Linked DNA regions of Struthio camelus. The protein of the gene in region 1 purifies or fractionates together with the protein of each later gene. This does not show direct contact. Links are inferred from orthologs where the notes say so. Each region holds a gene or a part of one and is shown in the gene's direction. Other genes may lie near its edges.

The links. Proteins that work in one complex are often made in the same cells at the same time.
Region 2: the proteins of PSMA5 (region 1) and FBXO7 purify together in Homo sapiens (affinity purification with mass spectrometry; 3 studies listed by BioGRID and IntAct, with this or other methods). This does not show direct contact. The link is inferred for Struthio camelus from reciprocal best matches to the Homo sapiens genes PSMA5 and FBXO7.
Region 3: the proteins of PSMA5 (region 1) and PSME1 purify together in Homo sapiens (co-immunoprecipitation; 5 studies listed by BioGRID and IntAct, with this or other methods). This does not show direct contact. The link is inferred for Struthio camelus from reciprocal best matches to the Homo sapiens genes PSMA5 and PSME1.

What each region holds. Positions count from the first base shown.
Region 1 is NC_090965.1:4,151,303-4,159,019, reverse strand, and holds the start of PSMA5 (proteasome subunit alpha type-5), read left to right. Parts: upstream 1-4,707; 5' UTR 4,708-4,834; coding exon 4,835-4,863; intron 4,864-6,158; coding exon 6,159-6,225; intron 6,226-7,717. Other genes in the region: SYPL2 (synaptophysin-like protein 2), read right to left, coding at 1-84, 166-367, 855-979, 1,762-1,833, 2,506-2,556. UniProt on the Homo sapiens protein: Component of the 20S core proteasome complex involved in the proteolytic degradation of most intracellular proteins. This complex plays numerous essential roles within the cell by associating with different regulatory particles.
Region 2 is NC_090942.1:61,036,952-61,044,565, reverse strand, and holds the start of FBXO7 (F-box only protein 7), read left to right. Parts: upstream 1-4,610; 5' UTR 4,611-4,924; coding exon 4,925-5,088; intron 5,089-5,691; coding exon 5,692-5,992; intron 5,993-7,614. UniProt on the Homo sapiens protein: Substrate recognition component of a SCF (SKP1-CUL1-F-box protein) E3 ubiquitin-protein ligase complex which mediates the ubiquitination and subsequent proteasomal degradation of target proteins and plays a role in several biological processes such as cell cycle, cell proliferation, or maintenance of chromosome stability.
Region 3 is NC_090970.1:244,318-252,034, reverse strand, and holds the start of PSME1 (proteasome activator complex subunit 1), read left to right. Parts: upstream 1-4,713; 5' UTR 4,714-4,778; coding exon 4,779-4,793; intron 4,794-4,969; exon of another isoform or gene 4,970-5,328; intron 5,329-5,392; exon of another isoform or gene 5,393-5,928; intron 5,929-6,878; exon of another isoform or gene 6,879-6,908; intron 6,909-6,927; coding exon 6,928-7,023; intron 7,024-7,717. UniProt on the Homo sapiens protein: Implicated in immunoproteasome assembly and required for efficient antigen processing. The PA28 activator complex enhances the generation of class I binding peptides by altering the cleavage pattern of the proteasome.

The sequences.
Region 1 (7,717 bases):
CCCCTTGACGTCGCTGAGCCCCTTGCCCCACGCCGCCGCCGCCACCAGCCAGAAGAAGGCGAAGGAGACGGTCGCGCAGAAATCCTGCCGGGGACGAGCAGGAGCTGAGCGCCGTCGCCGGCCCGCCGGGGCCGCGCGGCGGGATCGGGCTCGGCGCCACCTTACCGCGAAGGGCAGCTTCTTATTTTCGCCGTAGAGGGAATGAAAGCGCAGGTAAAGCACCAGAGCCGCCATGGCGTAGAGGAAGGAGAAGACCCCCAGGGTCACGAAAAACTCGGCGGGCGCCGAGAAGTCGCCGACGAGGTGCAGGGTCTGGCTCTCGCCGGCGCCCTCGCAGTCCGGCATCTCGAAGGGCACCTGGTACAACCTGGGCGCAGCGGCAGAGCGATGCCGGCCGGCCGCCCGCTGCCGCCCTCCGGCTCGCGAGGCTCCTCGCAGCCTCGGCGCGCGCGCGCCGCGAGGCGAGCGGCCGGCCGGAGCGGGTCCACGCGATGCTCCCGGCTCCCCGAAACGACCCGGCAGAGCAGGACGGCGCTGGAGCATCCTGCCCCTATTAAAATCTCTATCGCCCGGCTGCGGGTGAGGGCAAGGGAGAGAGGAGAAAAAAAGCCCGTATCCACCCAAAACGCGCCGAATCCTGGATCCACCCGAAATGCACCAAAACCTATATCCACCCAAAACCGCCCCGCGCGCACGCCGGCACGCTCCCTCCTCCGCGGTGCCTCCACGCACTCCGGGAGCGCGGCCGCAACGCCGGGGGGGGGGGGACGAGGCCGGCGTCCCCAGGGGTCCCGGCCGGCGTCGGAGCAGCGGGTGCTCGCGCAGGACACCGGGGCCCGTCCCCGTGCCCTTACCGGAAAGGATACCCGAACTGCACCGAAATAGCGCTCATCTCTTTGGTTTCGCCGTTGCACTTCACCGTGGCCCCGCTCTCGCCGCTGAAGGAGCCGCAGGCCCCGAAGGCGAAGATGGCGAAAAGCTGGGAGAGAGCGACGGCGCGTCGGGCGCAGGATTTGGCCGCCGAGGCCGGCGGCGCTGAGTCACGGCGGCGGCGGCGGCGGGCTGCCACCCCGCAGCTGTCGGCCGCGGCGCGCCAGCTCCCGGAGAGGCCGAGGCGGGGGCGGCGGTCGCCCGCCCCGCGGCCCCCGCTGCGATTTTTTACGGTTCCCGCCGGGCCCCTCGGCGCGGGAAGCGGCGAGGAGCCTCCCTTGCCGCCCCCCCCACCCCGTCCCTGGCGCTCCCCGCCGGAGTTTTCCAGCACGCCGCCGCTGCCACCCCAGGGACGCACCCGCTGCCCCGAAATATAATCCGGCAACCATCCATCGCGCCCCCGGGGCGCCCGGCTTCCCCCATCGCTGCCCCCCCCATCCCAGGCGCGGGAACCCCCCGTGGCACCGCCGAAGCCCGCGGCCACCGCGGCACCTCGACGTCACCGTCCCCTCCGGCGTGGCCGGGCAAAGCCACCTGCTCAAGGTCACCGGGGAGGGCCGCGCGGCCGGACCCAGGCGTCCGGGCGGCCCCACGCCCGGCCTCGCCGGGACGTGCCCCCCCGGGGTGCCCCCCACCCAGCGCTGCTGGCACCCGGCGGGTCCCCTCGTCCCTGGGGGCTGTTGCAGGTCTTGGGAAAAGGACGGGTGACCCCGAAACCGCGCAACGCTGGAGCCCGGCTGGGGGGGAAGCGCCGCCACCCTGGGGTGCCGGGCAAGGGGCTGCGCCCGAGGGGCTCCCACGGGACGGGGACGGGGACCCGGGGGGACTCACCCACTGCAGCACTTTGATGAAGCCCAGGGGCTCCTGGAGGCGGCCCCAGCGCATCCCGCCCAGGACGCGGTCCTGCGGGGGAGAGCGGCCGTGAGCGCCGGGGGTGGCACCGGGGGGCTGCAGCAGGGGGTTGCACTGGGGGGGGTGCAACGGGGGGTTGCACTGGGGGGCTGCAACGGGGTGGCACTGGGGAGCTGCACTGGGGGGGCTGCAGAGAGGGGCTGCACTGGGGGGCTGCAACGGGGTGGTACTGGGGGGCTGCACTGGGGGGCTGCAATGGGGGTGGTACTGGGGGGCTGCAGCAGGGGGTGGCACTGGGGGGCTGCACTGGCGGTGGCACCGGGGGGCTGCAGCAGGGGGTTGCACTGGGGGGGGTGCAACGGGGGGTTGCACTGGGGGGCTGCAACGGGGTGGCACTGGGGAGCTGCACTGGGGGGGCTGCAGAGAGGGGCTGCACTGGGGGGCTGCAACGGGGTGGTACTGGGGGGCTGCACTGGGGGGCTGCAATGGGGGTGGCACTGGGGGGCTGCAGCAGGGGGTGGCACTGGGGGGCTGCACTGGCGGTGGCACCGGGGGCTGCACCGAGGGGTCGCACCGAGGGTGGCACCGGGGGGCTGCACCGGGGGGCTGCACCGGGGGCTTGCAATGGGGGGGTGGCACCGGGGGGGCTGCAGCGGGGGGCCGCAGCGGGGGGGCTGCCCCAGGCCACCGGGGGCTGCCCCGGGGGGCGCAGCGGGACCCTACCTGGAGCCGGGGCGTTTTGTCGCCGGCCGCGGGGGCGCCGGGCTCCGACATGGCCGGGCCGGGGGGGCCGTGGGCGCCGTCGGGGCTGCCTCCGCCGCCCGCTGCGGCCGCGCCGCTGTCCGAGCCGCCCCGGCGCCGCCGCCGGGAGCCCCCGCGGCCCCGGGCAGGGCCGCCCGCGCCGCCCCGCCCCGCCCCGCCTGGGCCCCGGCCCCCGCCGGGACGGCCCCCGGCCCGCCCCCCCGGGGCACCCCGGCCCGGCCCCGCCCCCGGCCCCGCCCCCCGGCCCGGCCCGGCCGCAGCGCGGCGGCTTCGGGCGGCCCCCGCGCCGCGCCGTCCAGCCGCCCGCCCGTTTCTCACTCCATCTGTCTATCTGCCCATCTCTCCGTGCGGCTGTCCATCCGTCCGTCTGTCCGTCCGCCTGTCCATCCATCCATCCTTCCATCCCTCCATCCATCCATCCGTCCGTCCGTCCATCCTTCCATCTGTCCATCCATCCTTCCATCTGTCCATCTCTCCATCCATCCATCCTTCCATCCCTCCATGCATCCATCCATCCGTCCATCCATCCTTCCATCTGTCCATCCATCCATCTGTCCATCCATCCATCCTTCCATCCATCCGTCCATCCATCCTTCCATCTGTCCATCCATCCATCTGTCCGTCTGTCCATCTCTCCATCCATCCATCCTTCCATCCCTCCATCCATCCGTCCATCCATCCTTCCATCTGTCCATCCATCCATCTGTCCATCCATCCATCCTTCCATCCCTCCATGCATCCATCCATCCGTCCATCCATCCTTCCATCTGTCCATCCATCCATCTGTCCATTCCTCCGTCCGTCCATCCATCCATCCATCTAACCATCCATCCGTCTCTCCATCTGTCTCTCCATCCGTCCATCCATCCTTCCATCTGTCCATCCATCCATCTCTCCTTCCGTCCATCCATCCATCCATCCATCCAACCATCCATCCGTCTCTCCATCTGTCTCTCCATCCATCCATCCATCCTTCCATCTGTCCATCCATCCGTCCATTTGTCCAACCATCCTTCCATCTGTCCGTCCATCCATCCTTCCATCCCTCCATCCATCCATCCATCCGTCCATCCGTCCATCCTTCCATCCGTCCATCCATCCTTCCATCTGTCCATCTCTCCATCCATCCATCCTTCCATCCCTCCATGCATCCATCCATCCGTCCATCCATCCTTCCATCTGTCCATCCATCCATCTGTCCATTCCTCCGTCCGTCCATCCATCCATCCATCTAACCATCCATCCTTCTCTCCATCTGTCTCTCCATCCATCCATCCATCCTTCCATCTGTCCATCCATCCATCCATCCATCCAACCATCCATCCGTCTCTCCATCTGTCTCTATGCCCGTCCATCCATCCTTCCATCTGTCCATCCATCCGTCCATCTGTCCATCCATCTCTCCTTCCGTCCATCCATCCATCCATCCATCCAACCATCCATCCGTCTCTCCATCTGTCTCTATGTCCGTCCATCCATCCTTCCATCTGTTCATCTGCCCATCCATCCATTCATCCATCTGTCCATCTGTCCGTCCACCCATCTGTCCACGTCTCGCTCCGCCAGCCCGTCAGCCCATCCATCCATCTCTCCGTCCTGCTGCCCCTCCATGCTCCCCCTGTCCACCCTCCCCTCCACCCACCATCACCCGTCTCTCCATTAGCCTCTCGGTCCCTCGCTCTGTCCCTCGGCGGGTGACACCGAGCGGGTGACACCGGCAGCGCCTGGGGCAGGAAGCGCCGTAGGGGAAGCGGAAGGGCAGGGTGGGGGCAGAGGGGGGTGGCCGGGGGTGGCAGCCGCACCCCGGGGGGCGGGGGGGTCACCCTGCCCCTCCCCCACCCTGCCCCACCCCCTTCTGCACTTCTCCGCCCCTCCCCCACTCCGCAGGCCCCGCCCCTCCCGCTGCTGCACCGGCCCCTCCCCCTCTGGGTGAGACTCGCCCCGCCCCCGTTCTGCCCTCGCACCTCCCCCAGTCTCCCTGGCCCCGCCCCTAGTCCTGGCCCCGCCCCCTGCACCGTCCCCGTCCCGCCCCTCTGGAGCGCCTCGACCAATCCCCGCTGGCGGCCGCTCTTGCCCCGCCCCCGAGCGCGGCGCGGGGTCCGCCCACCAGGACGGCCCAATGGGGCGGCGAGGCGAGCGGAAGCGGGCCGGCGGGGCGGGGCGGCGCCTGCGCGGTGGCGGGCGCCGGCAGGAAGTGGTGGGCAGCCCGGCGAGGGGAGAGCGGCGCTCCGGCCTGCGCCCGCACCAGCCGCCCGCCGCGCCCGGCCCCGCTCCCGCCGCCGCCGCCGCCATGTTCCTCACGCGCTCCGAGTACGACCGGTGAGTGCCCGCCGCCCCCCCCCCCCCCGCCGCCTCCCGCCTCCCCGGGCGGCCGCGGCCTGCGGCTGAGTCACGGGCCTGCTCCCGCCCGCGCCGTCTCCATGGCGACGGGCCGAGCCGGGCCCCGGCCCCGTCCCCGCCGCCGCCTCGCTGCCCCCGGGCCTGGCGGGGCCCCGGCCCGGCCCGAGCCCGCCAGCGGCGGGGCCAGCGCGGCCCTGCTGGCTCACGCCTGGGCCGCGCCGGCCCTGCCCGGCCGCCCGCGCCTGCGGCCGCTGCCCCCGAGCCGGCCCCGGCTCTCGTCTCTTCGCCCGATCCGCGCTCCTTCTCTTCCCTCCTTCCTCTCGCGCCTCCTTTCTTTTATTTATTTTTGTTTTAATGTGGGCTTTTTTTCCGTTTCCAGAGAGCCCTGCTCCGCCGGGTTCAAGGGCGGCCCTTGGCTGCCTCTCATGCTGCTAGAGAGCTCCCGGTTTCTGCCTTCTTAGCAGCGAGCCGAAAGGATTTCGGGGCCCTGGTGTGGCGGGGGGGGTGCGCTCTGGTTACACCAGGATCAGGGCCAACCAGTGGAAGTTCTGACTTGAGCGGTGTTACCCGCAGGCAGTGATTTCGTAAGGCTGTACCTTATCTTAGTAACTTGCTCGTAAGGCGAGGAAGGAGCTGAACGTTAGGAAACCTCTGGAAACGTTCTGCGTGTGGACGGACTTGTTGGCCGCGCTGTTGTTCTTGCTTACCAGCAAAATGTGTTTGGCTGAGGCCTGCTGGTACACAGATGGCCAGTGTTGCATCATTATCTCCATCCTTATCCAATATAATCGGAAGGGCATTAAAAGTCAGGTCGGGTTAGCATCTGGGGAGAGCAGCAATGGGATGCCCGAAGAAGGGAATGGATCTTTGTTTGGGCTAAGCAGAAGGCTGCTGTCTCCCGGAGCTGAAAGAAAGCATGCTGCTTGGACTCCAAAGACAGTTTACTTCCAGCTTCCACAACGTAAAGTATTTCACTAGATTAAACTTCCTTCTGACCTGTGATTAGATCTGCTGGAATTTCTTTCCTGTTTCTCTCTAAGTATCCTGGCTCCAGACCTTGCCAATGAGCCTCTGCCATCAGGGTGACAGGCTGCTGGGGTGAGGAGTATGAAGCGATAAAGTATTCCAGCTGCTGAAATGTGTTGCTCCTGTGTTACCTCCTCCTAGCCGGCCTGACCTGTACCCTCATCGCTCATGAACCCTCGAGGAACTGCGTTTCCTGACGGCCTGCAGTTTCCCGCCTCTTAATGCCATCTCTGATGTTGTTCTTGCAGGGGTGTGAACACCTTTTCTCCGGAGGGGAGGCTCTTCCAAGTGGAGTATGCCATTGAGGCCATTAAGGTACCGTGAGCTCTCTCATGCTACAACCGTATCAACTCTACCTGGGTGCTGAACTGTGATCTTGAGAACCCTCGCAAACGAGGAGCCTAAATTTGGACAGAGACACTGAAATAAATAGCAAACGCTCCCCTCCGCCAGTAGAAAACAAGCAAGCAACAAAATCCAACAGAGGCACATTCTGTTAGTTTGGGCTCTGGTCTTTCTCTATAGTAAAGCAGAACTTGGCCAACTTCCAAGGGTAATACGCAACACTGAGCAGGAGTTGGGAGATGCTGCCTGTTCTGATAGGTGCTGTTCTTGTATGTGACTTTTGGCAGCTCTTTGCTTCCTTTTATGTACAGTCTTTAGCAGAAGGGTTGTTTAATCTCTCCCATACAGCTGCTACGCTTCCTGTAGCTCTATTCTTCTATATTATAGTTCTTGAGGAATTTAAAAAACACTGCAGCTCAGGAGGAGGAAGCCGGGGAACGTTGCCCCCACCAATCTACTCCTAAAACAAATGCAATCCAAAGATGCTAATCCCAAAATCAGAACTACTAAAAACTATTGCTGAAGCTAGAGGTTTTGAATGTTTGTATGCCGTGAATCTTTAACTACAAAAGTTGACATCAGTAGGGTGACACTTAAATGTCCATAAATACTTCCCTAACAGCAAACAAGCGCTATGCTTTCTCCTAACTTTCCTGAGGTAATGGAGTGCTGCCTCTTGGTCCTTGTGCTTTATGGAGTCCCTTTAAAAAAACAGAGCAGCTTTTCTCTTGTTATTACCAACGTGACATTCCTTTTCTTAGCTTGGAGTTGGTCACGTTTTGCTCAAGTGAATTTTAAAACCTGATGGTAAAGGTGAGAGGTAGCGTGCCTATGAGCAAGCTAATCTACATCTGCAGAACTGATGGGCCTTTTGGGGGGCATTAAGCGTTCTTAAATAAGTGTTGTTCTTGTCCCTGAGAACTTGAAGATTGATTGGGAACAAGTTTAAACTTGGGGAAAAGTGTTCTGGGGGCTTTTAATGTAAATGATGAAGCAAAGAAGCTTTTAGTGGGCCTGTTTGGCCTGGGAGGAGGGTTGTTAGCCTTATCTTCCTCGTACACGTTAAGTTCATTGAAGCATTGCTTAAATGAGGAGTCAAAAAGTAATAAATCTTGCTTTTTAAGGAATTGTGAAGTGAGAGCTCTTAAATGGATGCAGTCATGATGCCATTGTGTTGTTGATAAAATACATCTTCTAGAGCAGAAATCTTCTGGAATCTTTCTGACTTTGCTCTTTTTCCAGATCAGTTGATAAGCTTACATATGAAACTGCCGCAACTCAGGTGGCTCTTCTGACATCCTAAGTGTGGTGTCTGTGTGTTAGGTTCTTAGGAGGAGCTTTTATTCGTGTGTGATAGCTTTATTAACAAACAGACATCTGAAGTGACATCAAGTATCCCTTCCTCACCTAAGACTTGTGCTCAGCTGCGTGCCTGAAGGGTGGCAGCCGTTGGGCAATGCCT
Region 2 (7,614 bases), on another chromosome or scaffold:
AAGAGAACAGGGCTGTCAATGGCCGCGCTGCCTACTCCTACTATGAAAAAGTAGACTGCAATCTCTGAATAAATCCAGGAAAATATGGTGGTGGCCAAAAAAGGCCTGAAGCAGTATGAAAAGGCCCAGAAAACCCACTGAAAGGTCCCTTGCTCCCATTTGAACAAGTACTTTCATGAGAAGTAGATTAAAGCAGTCAAGAGCTATGTGAACAAGATCCACAGACTGCATAAGGGCCCTATGTAGGCCGCTGATCTGAGATGCTTGTAAAGCACACCTCCACCAAATGTGTTAGTTATAGACCAATAGCATGAAGGGCTTTAAAATGCCTTTTAGGAGTGAAGTTGTCCACTATCAAGCTGCGAGAAGCTAAGAGGTCCTTTCCACTGGCTTTGATTTGAATGTCCTCCAGTGGCACGCTCAAAATGGTACTTCAGACTATCGCACTTCTGTGACATGAGATCACAAATTTCCCGACAATGCTCCAGTCTCCAGCCCCTTCTCTTGCTCATTTTACCACTTCTCAGTGTGACCCTAGTCACTCAAAATATCAGTATCAAAAGAGTTAATATACATACACATATATGTACTTAATATATATGTATTATAAAACAAGATCTTTACAGTGGCAAATACAGAAAGAAAAACAATGGAAAAAATCCACTGGCTCACAGCCTTATTACTGTACTCAGCTTTCAGAAAAAAAATATGTTCCATGAGGTAAGTAATTGAACCAAAAGGACCTTTACTTTTTATAGTTTTACCCTGCCATGGGAAGTTGACTGCAGGTCAACAGGACTACAGCTGTATCAGGTTTCAAATTTCTCAAGTAAAACCTTAACATTATTGCTAACGGTGCAGTTTTACCACTTAGGTGGAAGGGGTTCTATTGCCTGTGTTTTATACTGACCATGTGAAAAAAAACCCTGAGTAAAAAATGTTGAGTTGAGGAAACATATTATACTTAACAACCATTTTGTGTTACTTCAAGTTGCATACGAATGCTGAAAATAACTTTCTTTTTCTATCACATTGTTTTTTTAGTCTAATTTGTTAAAGAAGAATATACAATCATCATATCTGACACTGGCATACCATGCTGAAAGTCAAAATTCTGCATACAACCATTTCTTCAAGCTTGTAAGAACACAAGTTCCTTGTGCTACCTTGGTACAATGACTTTCCTAGCCTGAGGTCAAGCTCATACTTGGCCATACTCTCTCTTGCCTACAGAAAGAGACAAAACTCAAAAAGGTGGAGAAAATAACACCAACTATCAGCTCTTTCAGATAGATGTGGGAGGAAAAAGAAAGCAGTACTTCTGACTCCCTCAAACTGTAATTTTTGGTTTAGCTTAAATTATTTTTTTATTTCAGTCAACTTGAAATCAATCCCAATCAAAAGCCTTTTTGTGGCCTTTTGAGGCTGCGAGGAGGAGTCTGAAACATTGTCAATAGTTTCACTCCATCAGTCAAACCTCAGAAGCAGAGATTGGCAGGTTGTACTTGCACCTTGATGATGGTGGTTCTAGGTCAGCTGAATTTGGCACAGACAAACATTAAAGCTGTACAGCATGTTTTAGGCTTTTACCATAATTGTTTCTTAGGAGATTTTCCTGTTTAATACTGCTGTGTGAAGAGTAGGTCTGAACCTTGCATTGTGGCATGACTCATGAAATTCAAAAAAACATTTAGCAAAATGCCAGCAAAAGTGCTCACTTGCAAATGGTGTAGCTGGTTACCTAATAATGAATAGCATGGCCGGAGCCTGAGGAATTGAACCTTCTTACTTCACACAACTACCTTAGCTTGTGCAAGCTACTTAAATGGTGCTTCTGCTGGAAACATCGCAACGGTACTCATCAACGTTTCTCAGACTAGGGGAGTCCCCTCCTCCCTTCCTAAAGGAGAACGTGGACTGAGCAGCCCTGGGGCCAATGGGAACGCAGGAGGTGGCTGGGACAGAGACAACGCTAAAGAGCAAAACACAGCAGGAGGCCTGTGGCCACTGGGAAGCTGTCCCACTGTTCAGGCACCAGCATGACTCATTTTGGATGCAGCCCTCTCCAAGAGAGAGGAATGCAGTTTCTGGCAGGCATGGTGCTCTTGACTGCTCCCCAAATATTCTCTTCATTTCTATCTTCTTTGTCCCTGCCTTTGCCACTTCCTTCTAGTCACACACCCCTCTGCCACAGCAACCCACCCTTCCGGCATCTGTCCACAGTGTGGCCCCATTTGATGACTATTGCATAAGTAGTTCTCAAATTGGGGCTGTCATAAAAGGGTCAGTAAGCCCCTCATGAAACAACTTGTTTTAATGTTCTCATTAAAGGACCAGGTGTGCAAGACAAGGTTGAGCACAAGCACCAGTTCTTTCATTGTTGACTGAATGGTATTTTTCCATTTCCGTAAAGTGCCTTTGTCATTCCTTTTGTCTTCTTCTTCCATACGCCCTCTCCTTTCCCCTGAGAAGTTTAAGATATTGAAAACAGATGATGGTTGCCCAAATATGCCCATAGGTGTATTTGACACCAAACTCTGAAGTGAAATGCAACAGCCACATTTACCTCAGTTGAATGACCATGTTCAGATGACAGAAGAACTAGCCTGAGATTTCAACCATAGCCCAGAACAGGTTTTGTGAAGTTTCATTCTCCTGTTTGCACCTGTCCCCAGAAGGACTAAAACAAGAGAGAGAGGCCTTTCCTATGAATACTGGAGATATGCAATGTAAATAGCACCAGAATAAGCAGCTGTACTTGGTGGCAGCTGTACAGACTGTTTCAAATTCACTTCACCTAGCACTACTCTTTTATTATACTCCTACAGAGTATTCTAGGCTTGCTATACCTCATTCATATTTTCCTCTCTCCATGTAAGGAACGTATCTTCATAAATGGATGCCCTGTTTCTGCTCTCAACAGGCCTAAGATTTCTTCGTGTTCATAACTGCATCTGAAGGGAAAAAACAAAAAACAAAACCACCAAAAAACAAGATAACTTTTGTACACAGATTATCTCTGAACTCACACTGAAGGGATTTGTTCTCCTTAAAGGATTAATATAAGTCATTAAACAAAGTAAACAACTTGAATAATCTGTGCCCACCTTTTACATTTTTCCTACCAGACTTTCTGAAAAAAGTATTTTTTTAGATAAAAGCAGAAGTTTATTTTTTACATCTAAGGCGTGGAGGGAGGCCTTTTTTGAGTAGCACTGACTATGAAAGTAGAATAGAACATTAGAAAAGTTTGCTGTACTTTGTATTTTTGCTAAGGACATAGCAACATTTGACTACAGGTCTAATACATTACCTCTACGATGACAGTTCACCAGTGTACCTTGGGGGGAGGGGGGGAAGAGTCATACTCAGTGCCCTCCCTCAGCCTTTCCCCTAGATCATCTGTTTCCATGAGCTTTGCCTGCACAGAGTTTAATACCCAAACAGGAACAGGCTCCTTAATACCTTTTTAGAATGATATCTAAAAGGGCCTCAAAATTGGAGGCGAGGCAAAACCGAACTACTCAGCACACAGGCAGGCAACCAATCTGCAGAAATCATTCCCGTTACTCCTTCCAGGCGGGGAAGGGGATAACCTTGGAATAACAACAGAGAAGCAACCCAAAACAACAGTACCACCAGAGGTCCCCTCACCTCCCCCCCCCCCCCGAAGGCGGAAAAAAGAGAGGAGGAAGGGCGGGTACATCCGCGTCGGCGCATGCGCAGCAGGCACAGCCCGAGCGCCCAATCACCGATGGCGTCGCGCAGGCACAGCGTGGAAGCCTGAGGCATCGATCGGCCGCGCTGCTCTTGGGTGCGCGATTGCGGGGGGGGGGGGGGAGGGGCGGCGCAACTCGGGCCCGCCGGGGCGGGGCGGCTCCGCGCTGGGGCGGCGCCGCGCCAACCAAAACAACGACACGCCCCGGCAGCCCTTGCGCCCGCTGCCACCATCACCGCCGCCCGGCGGGGCCAGCTCGGAGCGCCAGGCGGGCGCGGAGACCCGCCGCCGCCATCATCATGAAGCTTCGCGTCCGCCTGCAGAAGCGGACGGCGCCGCTGGAGGTGCAGGGGGCGGAGCCAACGCTGGGGGAGCTGCGCGCGCAGCTGCGCCAGGCCGTGCTGCCCGCCTGGGGGTACAGGTAACGTGCGGAGCGAACCATCGCCGAAGGGAGGGGAAGGGAAGGGAAGGGGGGGGCTGGCGGGGCCGTACCACGCGGCGCGGGGGGAGGGGGGAAGAGAGAGGGAGGGGAAGGGCCCCGGCGAGCGGCGGCGCTGCTGCCCCCTGTGGGCGGCGGGAGCGGGACGCCGGGCCGGGCCGGGCGGCGGGACCGGCCGGTGCTGCGTAACCGGCTCCGTCGCGAGTGCCGGGTTTGGGAGGGCTGTGTGGGGAGACCCCGCTGGGCCTCGCTAGGGCAGGAGCCGGCGGGGGAGGGCGGCGCAGCGGCGTCGCCTGAACGTTGCCGGGGGGTGGGGGGGCGTGAGGTTAAAGGCCTGCAGCTCCGGGGGTTTTAGTCACTTCGCGAGACCGTGTCGAAGGCTGCTAAAGCTCACAGAGCACTTGGTAAAAGTCACTGCCCTCCTTCGGGCACACCTTCCAGCTGCGTTTTCCCCGGGTAGCACAGGGCTGGTAGGGCTGGTAGGTCACGGAAACTTCAGTTACGTTTCGGTTGCCGAGCGTTAACGGTCGCTCCGGCACGCGCAGCGCGCTTCGGCCCGTGCCCGCCCTTGAAACGCGGGGCGCAGCTCGGCCGGAGCTGGCTTGTATTGCTCGGTGGCGCTGATGTTACAAAGAGTTGCGGCTGGATGTCTGTTTTACAGTTTTGTGGCTTTCTTAGAGGCTCTCTGGGTTTAGACTTCATAAAAGGTTTTTTACGTGTGAAGAACTCATGACAACGTTTATAGGAGGATAAAACCTGTTAAGGTAATGGAAGAGCTGCCTACAGAAGAAACTCCTTTTCTAGTAGCGTGGAAACAGTTTGTAGTCACAAATCTGTCACCGGGTATGAGGATGAAACTCATGTTTCATTGGCAGTACGTACATTCGATGGCACTGCACTGTACAGCATACCACCGTAGGCTGGAGTTATTGTACGTCCTGCCGTGCTGGGTATATTTTTGTAGTTGGTACTTGATAACGGTTTTCATGCTAACCACGTTCATGTTTATTTTATTTTTTTGTAATTGCTTGCGCTGAAGCAGCTTTTCTTACTGCCCACATCTGTAATTGCCATGCTGGAGGGCAGCTGCTGACCTTTTGAAGCAAATGTTTTGTTAATCGGAAAGCAAGGTGATTTGAATCTGCAATAGTGTCCTGTTTTTAAGTGATCTGAGTCAGTGGTTTATTTAACACTTGTTTTATTAGGTTGAATATGTTTAATTTGGAAGGCACCTGTTTGCTTTCCTTCATATCTGTTTTATGAGCGGTTATTGCAGATGAAGTTATACCCACTAAGCAACTTCAGTTATTTAAAACACGCTTGGAGAGAAAAATGAGGGAATCACTTCATAGCATAACCCTTAGTTTTTCCCTGCTCTTCCTTTAAGTGTATAGCTAATTTTTAATGGATTAAAACCTGTGGAACAGTACTTAAGCAGTATGCAATATACATTTCTAATTCTACATTTCAATACCTGTGTTCAGTTACCCAGATGCAGCTAACCACACTTTATTTCTTTTCCATTACTTTCCAGTTATGACGCGCAGTTTTCAATAACACTGAACAACAAGGATGCTCTCACAGAAGACCAGAAGACCTTGGCTTCATATGGGATTGTTTCTGGTGATTTGATATGTTTATTACTAGAAGAAGCAGATGCAAAACCCAGCCTACCTCCTCCCTCATCTTCTACTCCTCCGCCACTCCAGAATGGTCATGAACCGTCCGCCTTGATCCCCAACAAAAGTCAGGCCAGCAGCCCAAAAGAAGAAAGGCAGAATGGGCTACCTGACAGCCAGAAGGCTCAGGCAGAAGTTCAAAAAAGTGATGATATGGTAAGTCTGAGAATTTGACCTGTACGACACAGGACAAGAAAGGAGGTATCTTACTGTGTCGGTTGCTGTACTTCATAGTAGAGAACCTTTTCAGAATATTTGATTCTTAATGTTTGCCTGAAGTATAGGTGGTTGGTTGGCTGTAAATTTGTCTCTCTTTTTTTTTTTTTTAGCTATGCCATAGAAGTTAATTCAGCAGCTCTGAGATGTTTCAGATTTGACACTTTTACAGGACTGTATGTTTTTGCTGGAACATGCACTTTTCTTAAGGAAGTTAGGAATATGTCTCTTGCCTACCTCAGTGCTGTCTTCTTGAGAAAACTGATTCTAGATACCAAATAAGTACAGCCTGTCTGAAATTCCACTCACTAGATAAGTGCATGATTCCTTTCTAATAGTTATTACAGTTCCCTGTGAGTCAGGGGCCTATCGTAGAGCAAGAGACCTGTCTGGTTCTGCATGAAGTTTGGGTTGCTGAAATAGCTCCCACCTCATGCTTCACAGATATACATCTGTGTGACCCCGCGTTCCTGGTGCAGCTGAAAGGCACATCTTTTGGATGCTTTGTTAAGATTTTTCCTGTTTGACAACAGACACAGTAGTTAAGCAGATAATAGCTCTTACCAACTACTGGAAGGAGTTAGTCTAGGAAGGAGTCTTTCTAGAGGAGACTCTGTGGGTACAGCCTAGTGCCATGGCGTATCTTGGTACAGGATCCTGTCCTTTTAGGGAGGAGCTTGCGACTCTGAGAAGTTGTTTTCCTGCATTCTTTGGAAGCAAGTAGTTCTGTGTTTTGGAACTAATTTCATATACAAAATATCCCTTAGTACAACCTTTATATGAGGAATTTTGATATGTATACTTTTAAAAATACTCTTTTGAAGTATGAAAATAAAATATAAAGTGAAAAGAATTGTCAGTCGTGAAAGAGAACGTAGTGGGACCATCGTCCTCTTCATTCCTATCAGGAGAAATAGCCCTCACATGGTGCTGTAGGCAGGCAAGCTGCTTGTGTCTGCCAATTGGACCATATTAAACTGTGCAGGAATTTGTTGTGCGTTTATCTAATTATTTGGAGGCAAGATGAAAAATTCTCAGGTTTTATTCCAAAATTGTGATGAAAGATAGCAGAAAAATTTCCAAGCAACTAAGTGGTATTTAAAAAAAAAAACCCTCTAGAAATCTGAAAAACTGTGTTGGGGCTACGTGCAATGCTGATAATGAGAGAAGGGAAGTTCCACAGATGGTTGGCTACACCGGCCTCATACAGACATGAGGGTGCATTGTGCCATTGAGGGTGGATGTGAGGGAGAAGTAGCTACAGCTCCTTTAGCTTCTTCCTCCCTTTCCTGCCCCTTCCTTCAGGTAGATCCGCCCATGGTTTTAATTTGCTAGGGTTTTTTGTTTTTTTTTTAGTGTGGGTCTAAGTAGTTTAATGGGAACGTGTAACAATAGAGTAAATTACGTAATAATATGATGTGATTTTTGGTAGAAGAAAGGAAGCCATAATAAAGTCACCATCGTCTTCAAGTCTCAGTAAATACTCTTTTGATTTTTTTTTTCCAGCTATTTAAATCTATTCTGTTCATAAGGAATCTGAGTTACAATTTTTGGTACTTGCC
Region 3 (7,717 bases), on another chromosome or scaffold:
AGGGGCCCAGGCATCCGGGGAAGGGGCCCAGGTGTCCGGGGAGGGACCCAGGTGTCCGGGGGAGGGGCCCAGGCATCCGGGGAAGGGGCCCAGGCGTCCGGGGAAGGGGCCCAGGCATCCGGGGAGGGGCCCAGGCGTCCGGGAGGGGCCCAGGCGTCCGGGGAAGGGGCCCAGGCATCTGGGGAAGGAGCCCAGGTGTCCAGGGGAGGGGCCCAGGCGTCCGGGGAAGGGGCCCAGGCGTCCGGGGAGGGGCCCAGGCGTCCGGGGAAGGGGCCCAGGTGTCCGGGGGAGGGGCCCAGGCGTCCGGGGAGGGGCCCAGGCATCCGGGGAAGGGGCCCAGGTGTCCGGGGGAGGGGCCCAGGCGTCCGGGGAGGGGGCCCAGGTGCCCGGGGAGGGGCCCAGGTATCTGGGGAGGGGCCCAGGCATCCGGGTGAGGGGCCCAGGCGTCCGGGGAGGGGGCCCAGGCATCCGGGGAAGGGCCCAGGTGTCCGGGGGAGGGGCCCAGGTGTCCGGGGAGGGGCCCAGGCGTCCGGGAAGGGGCCCAGGTGTCCGGGAAGGGGCCCAGGCGTCTGGGGAAGGGGACCAGGTGTCCGGGGAGGGGCCCAGGCATCCGGGGAAGGGACCCAGGCATCCGGGGAAGGGGCCCAGGTGTCCGGGGAAAGGGCCCAGGTGTCCGGGGAAGGGGCCCAGGTGTCTGGGGAGGGGCCCAGGAGTCCGGGAAGGGGGCCCAGGCGTCTGGGGAGGGGCCCAGGCATCCGGGGAAGGGGCCCAGGTGTCCGGGGAAAGGGCCCAGGTGTCCGGGGAAGGGGCCCAGGTGTCTGGGGAGGGGCCCAGGTGTCCGGGGAGGGGCCCAGGCGTCCGGGGAAGGGGCCCGGGTGTCTGGGGAGGGGCCCAGGAGTCCGGGAAGGGGGCCCAGGCGTCCGGGGGAAGGGGCCCAGGCATCCGGGGAAGGGGCCCAGGTGTCCGGGGAAAGGGCCCAGGTGTCCGGGGAGGGGCCCAGGTGTCTGGGGAGGGGCCCAGGTGTCCGGGGAGGGGCCCAGGTGTCCGGGACAGGGGACCCAGGTGTCCGGGGAGGGGCCCAGGCATCCGGGAGAGGGGCCCAGCCGTCCGGGGGAGGGGCACAGGCATCTGGGGGAAGGGGCCCAGGTGTCCAGGGAGGGGCCCAGGCATCCGGGGAGGGGCCCAGGCGTCCGGGGAGTGGGCCCAGGCATCCGGGGAAGGGGCCCAGGTGTCCGGGGAAGGGGCCCAGGCATCCGGTGAAGGGACCCAGGTGTCCGGGGGAGGGACCCAGGTGTCCGGGGAGGGGGCCCAGGTGTCCGGGGGAGGGGCCCAGGCATCCGGGGAAGGGGCCCAGGTGTCCGGGGAGGGGCCCAGGCATCCGGGGAAGGGGCCCAAGCGTCCGGGGAAGGGACCCAGGCATCCGGGGAAGGGGCCCAGGCATCCGGGGGAGGGGCCCAGGCGTCCGGGGGAGGGGCCCAGGCGTCCGGGCGAGGGACCCAGGCGTCCGGGGAGGGGCCCAGGTGTCCGGGGAGGGACCCAGGCATCCGGGGAGGGGCCCAGGTGTCCGGGGAGGGACCCAGGCGTCCGGGGAAGGGACCCAGGCGTCCGGGAAAGGGAAGCATGCATCCAGGGGAGGGGGGCCCAGGCATCCGGCCCCCCCCCCCCCCACCATCTCCCCACTCCGACCCGCCATCTTCCCCCCCCCCCCCCCCGTCTCCCGCAGGCGCCTGGTGGCCTCGGCCGGCGGCTGGACGGCCCTGCTGGCCGGGGGGCTGCTGGTGGCCGCTTGGCCCCTGGCCCGGCCGGGGGGCGGCCGCCGAGGCGCCCTGCTGCGAGCCGGCGGCCGCTTGGCCGTGGCGGCCGGCCTGGCCCGCGCCGCCCCCCGCCTCTTCGCCGCCCTCGAAGCCGCCACCGGCCGCTGCCTGCCGGCCGCCCGCCGCCGCGGCCTCCCGCCGCCCCCGGCCCAGGCCGACCCCGGCGCCTGCCGGGCCGGCGGCCACCGCTGGGAGGGTCTCGCCGTCTCGCCCCAGGCCTTCGCCCTGGTGCACTGCGGCCTGGGCCTGGCCGAGGAGGCCGCCGCCTTGGGCCGCCTCTTGCACCCGCCGCCGGGGCCCAGGCGTCCGGCTGCCCGGGCCCCCGCCCCCTTTTGGGCTCCTCGTTTGCTGCTCCCTGTCCGCGAGCTTCCCCGAGGGCCCAGGCGTCCGGGCTTCGGCTCCTCGTCTCCGCTCCGCTGGGCCCAGGAGTTCGAGGGGCCCGGGCGTCCGGGTGCGATCTCGTCGTCCTGGCCCTGGGGGGCCCAGGAGTCCGAGGGGCCCGGGCGTCCGGGTGCGATCTCGTCGTCCTGGCCCTGGGGGGCCCAGGAGTCCGAGGGGCCCGGGCAGCTGTGGGGGGCCCAGGAGTCCGAGGGGCCCAGGCGTCCGGGCGTTCGGGGAACAGAGGCGGAGGAGGAGGAGGAAGGGCCCAGGCGTCCGGGCACGGCCCTCTGCCTCCTCTTCCTGCTCAACGTGGCGCTGCTGCTGCTGTGGCACGGGCTGCTGGCGGCCACGCTGGCCTACCGGCACGACTGGGCCTGCAACGCCGCCGGCGCCGGCCTGGGCTGGGCCGCCTGGGCCCTCACCTACCGCCTCTGGTACCGCTGCCCCTGCTCGCCCGGCCGCCCCGGCCTGGGCCTGCAGCCCCGCTGAGGGGCCCCGGCGTCCGGGAGGGGCCCCGGCGTCCGGGAAGGGCCCAGGCGTCCGGGCGACCCTACGCGCAACAAGGCGCGCCCGGGCATCTGGGTAGGACCTAGGCGTCCGGGAGGGGCCCAGGCGTCCGGGCGACCCAGGCAATGGGGTTACCCGTACATCTGGGAAGGGCCCAGGCGTCCGGGAGGGGCCCAGGCGTCCAGGCGACCCAGGCAATGGGGTTACCCGTACATCTGGGAAGGGCCCAGGCGTCCGGGAGGGGCCCAGGCGTCCGGGTGACCCAGGCAATGGGGTTACCCGTACATCTGGGAAGGGCCCAGGCGTCCGGGAGGGGCCCAGGCATCTGGGAAGGGCCCAGGCGTCCGGGAGGGGCCCAGGCGTCCGGGCGACCCAGGCAATGGGGTTACCCGTACATCTGGGAAGGGCCCAGGCGTCCGGGAGGGGCCCAGGCGTCCGGGCGACCCAGGCAATGGGGTTACCCGTACATCTGGGAAGGGCCCAGGCGTCCGGGAGGGGCCCAGGCGTCCGGGTGACCCAGGCAATGGGGTTACCCGTACATCTGGGAAGGGCCCAGGCGTCCGGGAGGGGCCCAGGCGTCCGGGTGACCCAGGCAATGGGGTTACCCGTACATCTGGGTAGGACCTAGGCGTCCGGGAGGGGCCCAGGCGTCCGGGCGACCCAGGCAATGGGGTTACCCGTACATCTGGGAAGGGCCCAGGCGTCCGGGAGGGGCCCAGGCGTCCGGGCGACCCAGGCAATGGGGTTACCCGTACATCTGGGAAGGGCCCAGGCATCCGGGAGGGGCCCAGGCGTCCGGGTGACCCAGGCAATGGGGTTACCCGTACATCTGGGAAGGGCCCAGGCGTCCAGGAGGGGCCCAGGCGTCCGGGCGACCCAGGCAATGGGGTTACCCGTACATCTAGGAAGGGCCCAGGCGTCCGGGAGGGGCCCAGGCGTCCGGGTGACCCAGGCAATGGGGTTACCCGTACATCTGGGTAGGACCTAGGCGTCCGGGAGGGGCCCAGGCGTCCGGGCGACCCAGGCAATGGGGTTACCCGTACATCTGGGAAGGGCCCAGGCGTCCGGGAGGGGCCCAGGCGTCCGGGTGACCCAGGCAATGGGGTTACCCGTACATCTAGGAAGGGCCCAGGCGTCCGGGAAGGGCCCAGGCGTCCGGGCGACCCAGGCAATGGGGTTACCTGTACATCTGGGAAGGGCCCAGGCGTCCGGGAGGGGCCCAGGCGTCCGGGAAGGGCCCAGGCGTCCGGGCGACCCTACGCGCAACAAGGCGCGCCCGGGCATCTGGGTAGGACCTAGGCGTCCGGGAGGGGCCCAGGCGTCCGGGCGACCCAGGCAATGGGGTTACCCGTACATCTGGGAAGGGCCCAGGCGTCCCGGAGGGGCCCAGGCGTCCGGGCGACCCAGGCAGTGGGGTTACCCGTACATCTGGGAAGGGCCCAGGCGTCCGGGAGGGGCCCAGGCGTCCGGGTGACCCAGGCAATGGGGTTACCCGTACATCTGGGAAGGGCCCAGGCGTCCGGGAGGGGCCCAGGCGTCCGGGTGACCCAGGCAATGGGGTTACCCGTACATCTGGGAAGGGCCCAGGCGTCCGGGAGGGGCCCCGGTGTCCGGGAGGGGTGGGAGGGTGTCCTGGGAAGCCCCGAAAGCCCAGGGCAGCCACGTTTCCCGGAGGGGCCCAGGCGTCCGGGAGGGCGTCCCAGGACTCCCCCAAAACCCCGGCCATGCCCCGGCAAGGGCCCAGGCGTCCGGGCGAGCCGATCTCAGCGATGGCCCCCCCTGCCCCCCCGCCAGGCCCCTTGGCGGGGACGGGGGGGCCCAGGCGTCCGGGTGAGGTGGGGGCCCAGGCGTCCGGCTTGGGGTGGGGGGATGGGACTGCCCCCCCCCCCGCTACCTGGACCGGGAACCCCGGGAATAAAACGTGTTGTTTTGGGGTGGTTTCGGGTAATTTTTTTCCCCTTTTTTTTTTTTCCGGGGGGGCCCAGGCGTCCGGGGGGGGCGGGGCGCACTGGCCCCGCCCCCCCCCCCCACGCGGGGAACCCCCGAGCTTTCGCTTTCGCTCTCGCTGCTGCCCCCATGGCTGCACCGCAGGTCCGGGGGGGGGCCCAGGCGTCCGGGCCGGGGGGGGGCCCAGGCGTCCGGGGCATGTCCGGGCAGCTCGGCTTGGGGAGGGAAGGAGGGGGCCCAGGCGTCCGGGAGCGGGGCCGGGGTTGGGGGGGGGGAGGGGAGCGGAGAGGGAGCAGGTGTCCGAACGGGGAGGGGCCCAGGCGTCCGGGGAAGGGGAGGGGAAGAGAGAGGCTGCAGAGGGGCGGGGCAGGGGCCCAGGCGTCCGGGCTTGAGGGGGTCGTAGGGGCCCAGGTGTCCGGGGTGTGGGGTGGTGGGGCCCAGGCGTCCGGGTGGCGAGTTGCAGTGGGGCCCAGGCGTCCGGGTGGCGGGACCCAGGCATCTGGGTGGTGGGGCGGATGTGGGGCCCAGGCGTCCGGGGTGCGGGTTGTGGTGGGGCCCAGGCGTCCGGGGTGCAGGGTGGGTGTGGGGCCCAAGTGTCTGGGTGGCGGGTTGCAGTGGGGCCCAGGCGTCCGGGCAGTGGGTTGCAGTGGGGCCCAGGCGTCCGGGCAGCGGGACCCAGGCATCTGGGCGGTGGGGCGGATGTGGGGCCCAGGCGTCCGGGGTGTAGTGGATGTGGGGCCCAGGCATCTGGGCAGCGGGGTGGATGTGGGGCCCGGGTGTCCAGGCAGTGGGGTGTGTGCAGGGCCCAGGCGTCCGGGTGGCAGGTTGCAGTGGGGCCCAGGCGTCCGGGCGGTGCAGGGTCCGGGCGGAGGGGCGGGTTGTGGCAGGGCCCAGGCGTCCGGGTGGCGGGGTGTGTGCAGGGCCCAGACGTCTGGGGTGCAGGGTGGGCGTGGGGCCCAGGCGTCCGGGTGGTGGGGCCCAGGTGTCCGGGGTGGTGCATGGCGAGTGCAGGGACCAGGTGTCTGGGTAGTGGGGCCCAGGCGTCCGGGGGGTGGGTTGCGGCAGGGCCCAGGCGTCCGGGTGGCGGGTTGTGGTTGGGCCCAGGCGTCCGGGGTGCAGGGCGAGTTGTTGTGGGGCTCAGGTGTCCGGGGTGACAGGGCCCAGGTGTCCGGGTTGCAGGGTGGGTAGTGGCGGGGCCCAGGCATCTAGGGTGCAGGATGGGTAGCAGTGGGGCCCAGGTGTCCGGGGAAGGAGCCCAGGTGTCCGGGGAGGGGCCCAGGTGTCCGGGGAGGGGCCCAGGCGTCCGGGAAGGGGCCCAGGAGTCCAGGGGAAGGAGCCCAGGTGTCCGGGGAAGGGACCCAGGCGTCCGGGGAGGGGGCCCAGGTGTCCGGGGAAGGGGCCCAGGTGTCTGGGAGGGGGCCCAGGTGTCTGGGGAGGGGCCCAGGCGTCCGGGGAAGGAGCCCAGGTGTCCGGGGAGGGGCCCAGGTGTCCGGGGAGGGGGCCCAGGTGTCCGGGGAGGGGGTCCAGGTGTCCGGGGAAGGGGCCCAGGTGTCCAGGGAAGGGACTCAGGTGTCTGGGGAAGGGGCCCAGGCGTCCGGGAAGGGGCCCAGGTGTCCGGGGAGGGGCCCAGGTGTCCGGGGAAGGGGCCCAGGCGTCCGGGGAGGGGCCCAGGCGTCCGGGGAAGGGGCCCAGGCGTCCGGGGAGGGGGCCCAGATGTCTGGGGAGGGGCCCAGGCGTCCAGGGAAGGGACCCAGGTGTCCAGGGAAGGGGCCCAGGTGTCCGGGTGCGGGGCCCAGGCGTCCGGGGAAGGGGCCCAGGTGTCCGGGGAGGGGGCCCAGGTGTCCGGGGATGGGCCCAGGCGTCCGGGGAGGGGACCCAGGTGTCCGGAGAAGGGGCCCAGGTGTCCGGGGAAGGAGCCCAGGTGTCCGGGGAAGGGGCCCAGGCGTCCGGGGATGGGCCCAGGTGTCTGGGGAGGGACCCAGGTGTCCGGGGAGGGGCCCAGGCGTCTGGGGAAGGGGCCCAGGTGTCCGGGGAAGGGGCCCAGGCGTCCGGGGAGGGGGCCCAGGTGTCCGGGGAGGGACCCAGGTGTCCGGGGAGGGGCCCAGGCGCGCGGGCGCGGGGCCCAGGCGTCCGGGGAAGGGGCCCAGGTGTCCAGGGAAGGGGCCCAGGTGTCTGGGGAGGGACCCAGGTGTCCGGGGAGGGGCCCAGGCGCGCGGGCGCGGGGCCCAGGCGTCCGGGCGCGGGCCCAGGCGTCCGGGCAGAGCCGCGGTGCCGGCAGGAGGAGGCCCTGCGCGCCCGGCTGGCGGCCCAGGTGCAGGCGCTGTTGGGCGCCGGGTTCCCGGCCAAGGTGGCCGAGCTGCAGGCGCTGCTGGAGGTGCCGGGGGGCGGGGCCTGTGGGGCGGGGGCGGGGCCTGTGGGGCGGGGGGTGGGATCTATGGGGCCGGGGGCGGGATCTATGGAGCTGGGGGGGGGTCTGTGGGGCTGGGGGCGGGGCCTGTGGGGCCGGGGGTGGGATCTATGGGGCAGGGGGCGGGATCTATGGGGCAGGGGGCGGGGTCTGTGGGGCCGGGGGTGGGATCTATGGGGCCGGGGGCGGGATCTATGGGGCAGGGGGCGGGGTCTGTGGGGCTGGGGGGGGTCTGTGGGGCTGGGGGGGGTCTGTGGGGCGGGGGACGGGGTCTTTGGGGCTGGGGCTGGGATCTATGGGGGCCCCATGGGGCAGCAGAGGGTCTTTGGGGTCGCTATGGGGCAGAGGAGGGGCCCTATGGGGCTCAGGAAGGTCTACGGGGTCTCTATGGGGCTTCTATGGGGCAGCAGAGGGTCTTTAGGGTCCCTATGGGGCAGGGGAGGGGCTCTATGGGGCACAGGAAGGTCTATGGGGTCTCTATGGGGCAGGGGAGGGTCAATGGGGTCTCCATGGGGCAGAAGAGGGTCTCCAGGAGGTTTCTATGGGGCAGAAGAAGGTCCATGAGGTCCCTATGGGGCAGGGGAGGCTCTATGGGGTCCCTATGGGGCAGGGGAGGGTCTCTATGGGGCAGAGGAGGGTTTCTATGGGGTCTCCGTGGGGC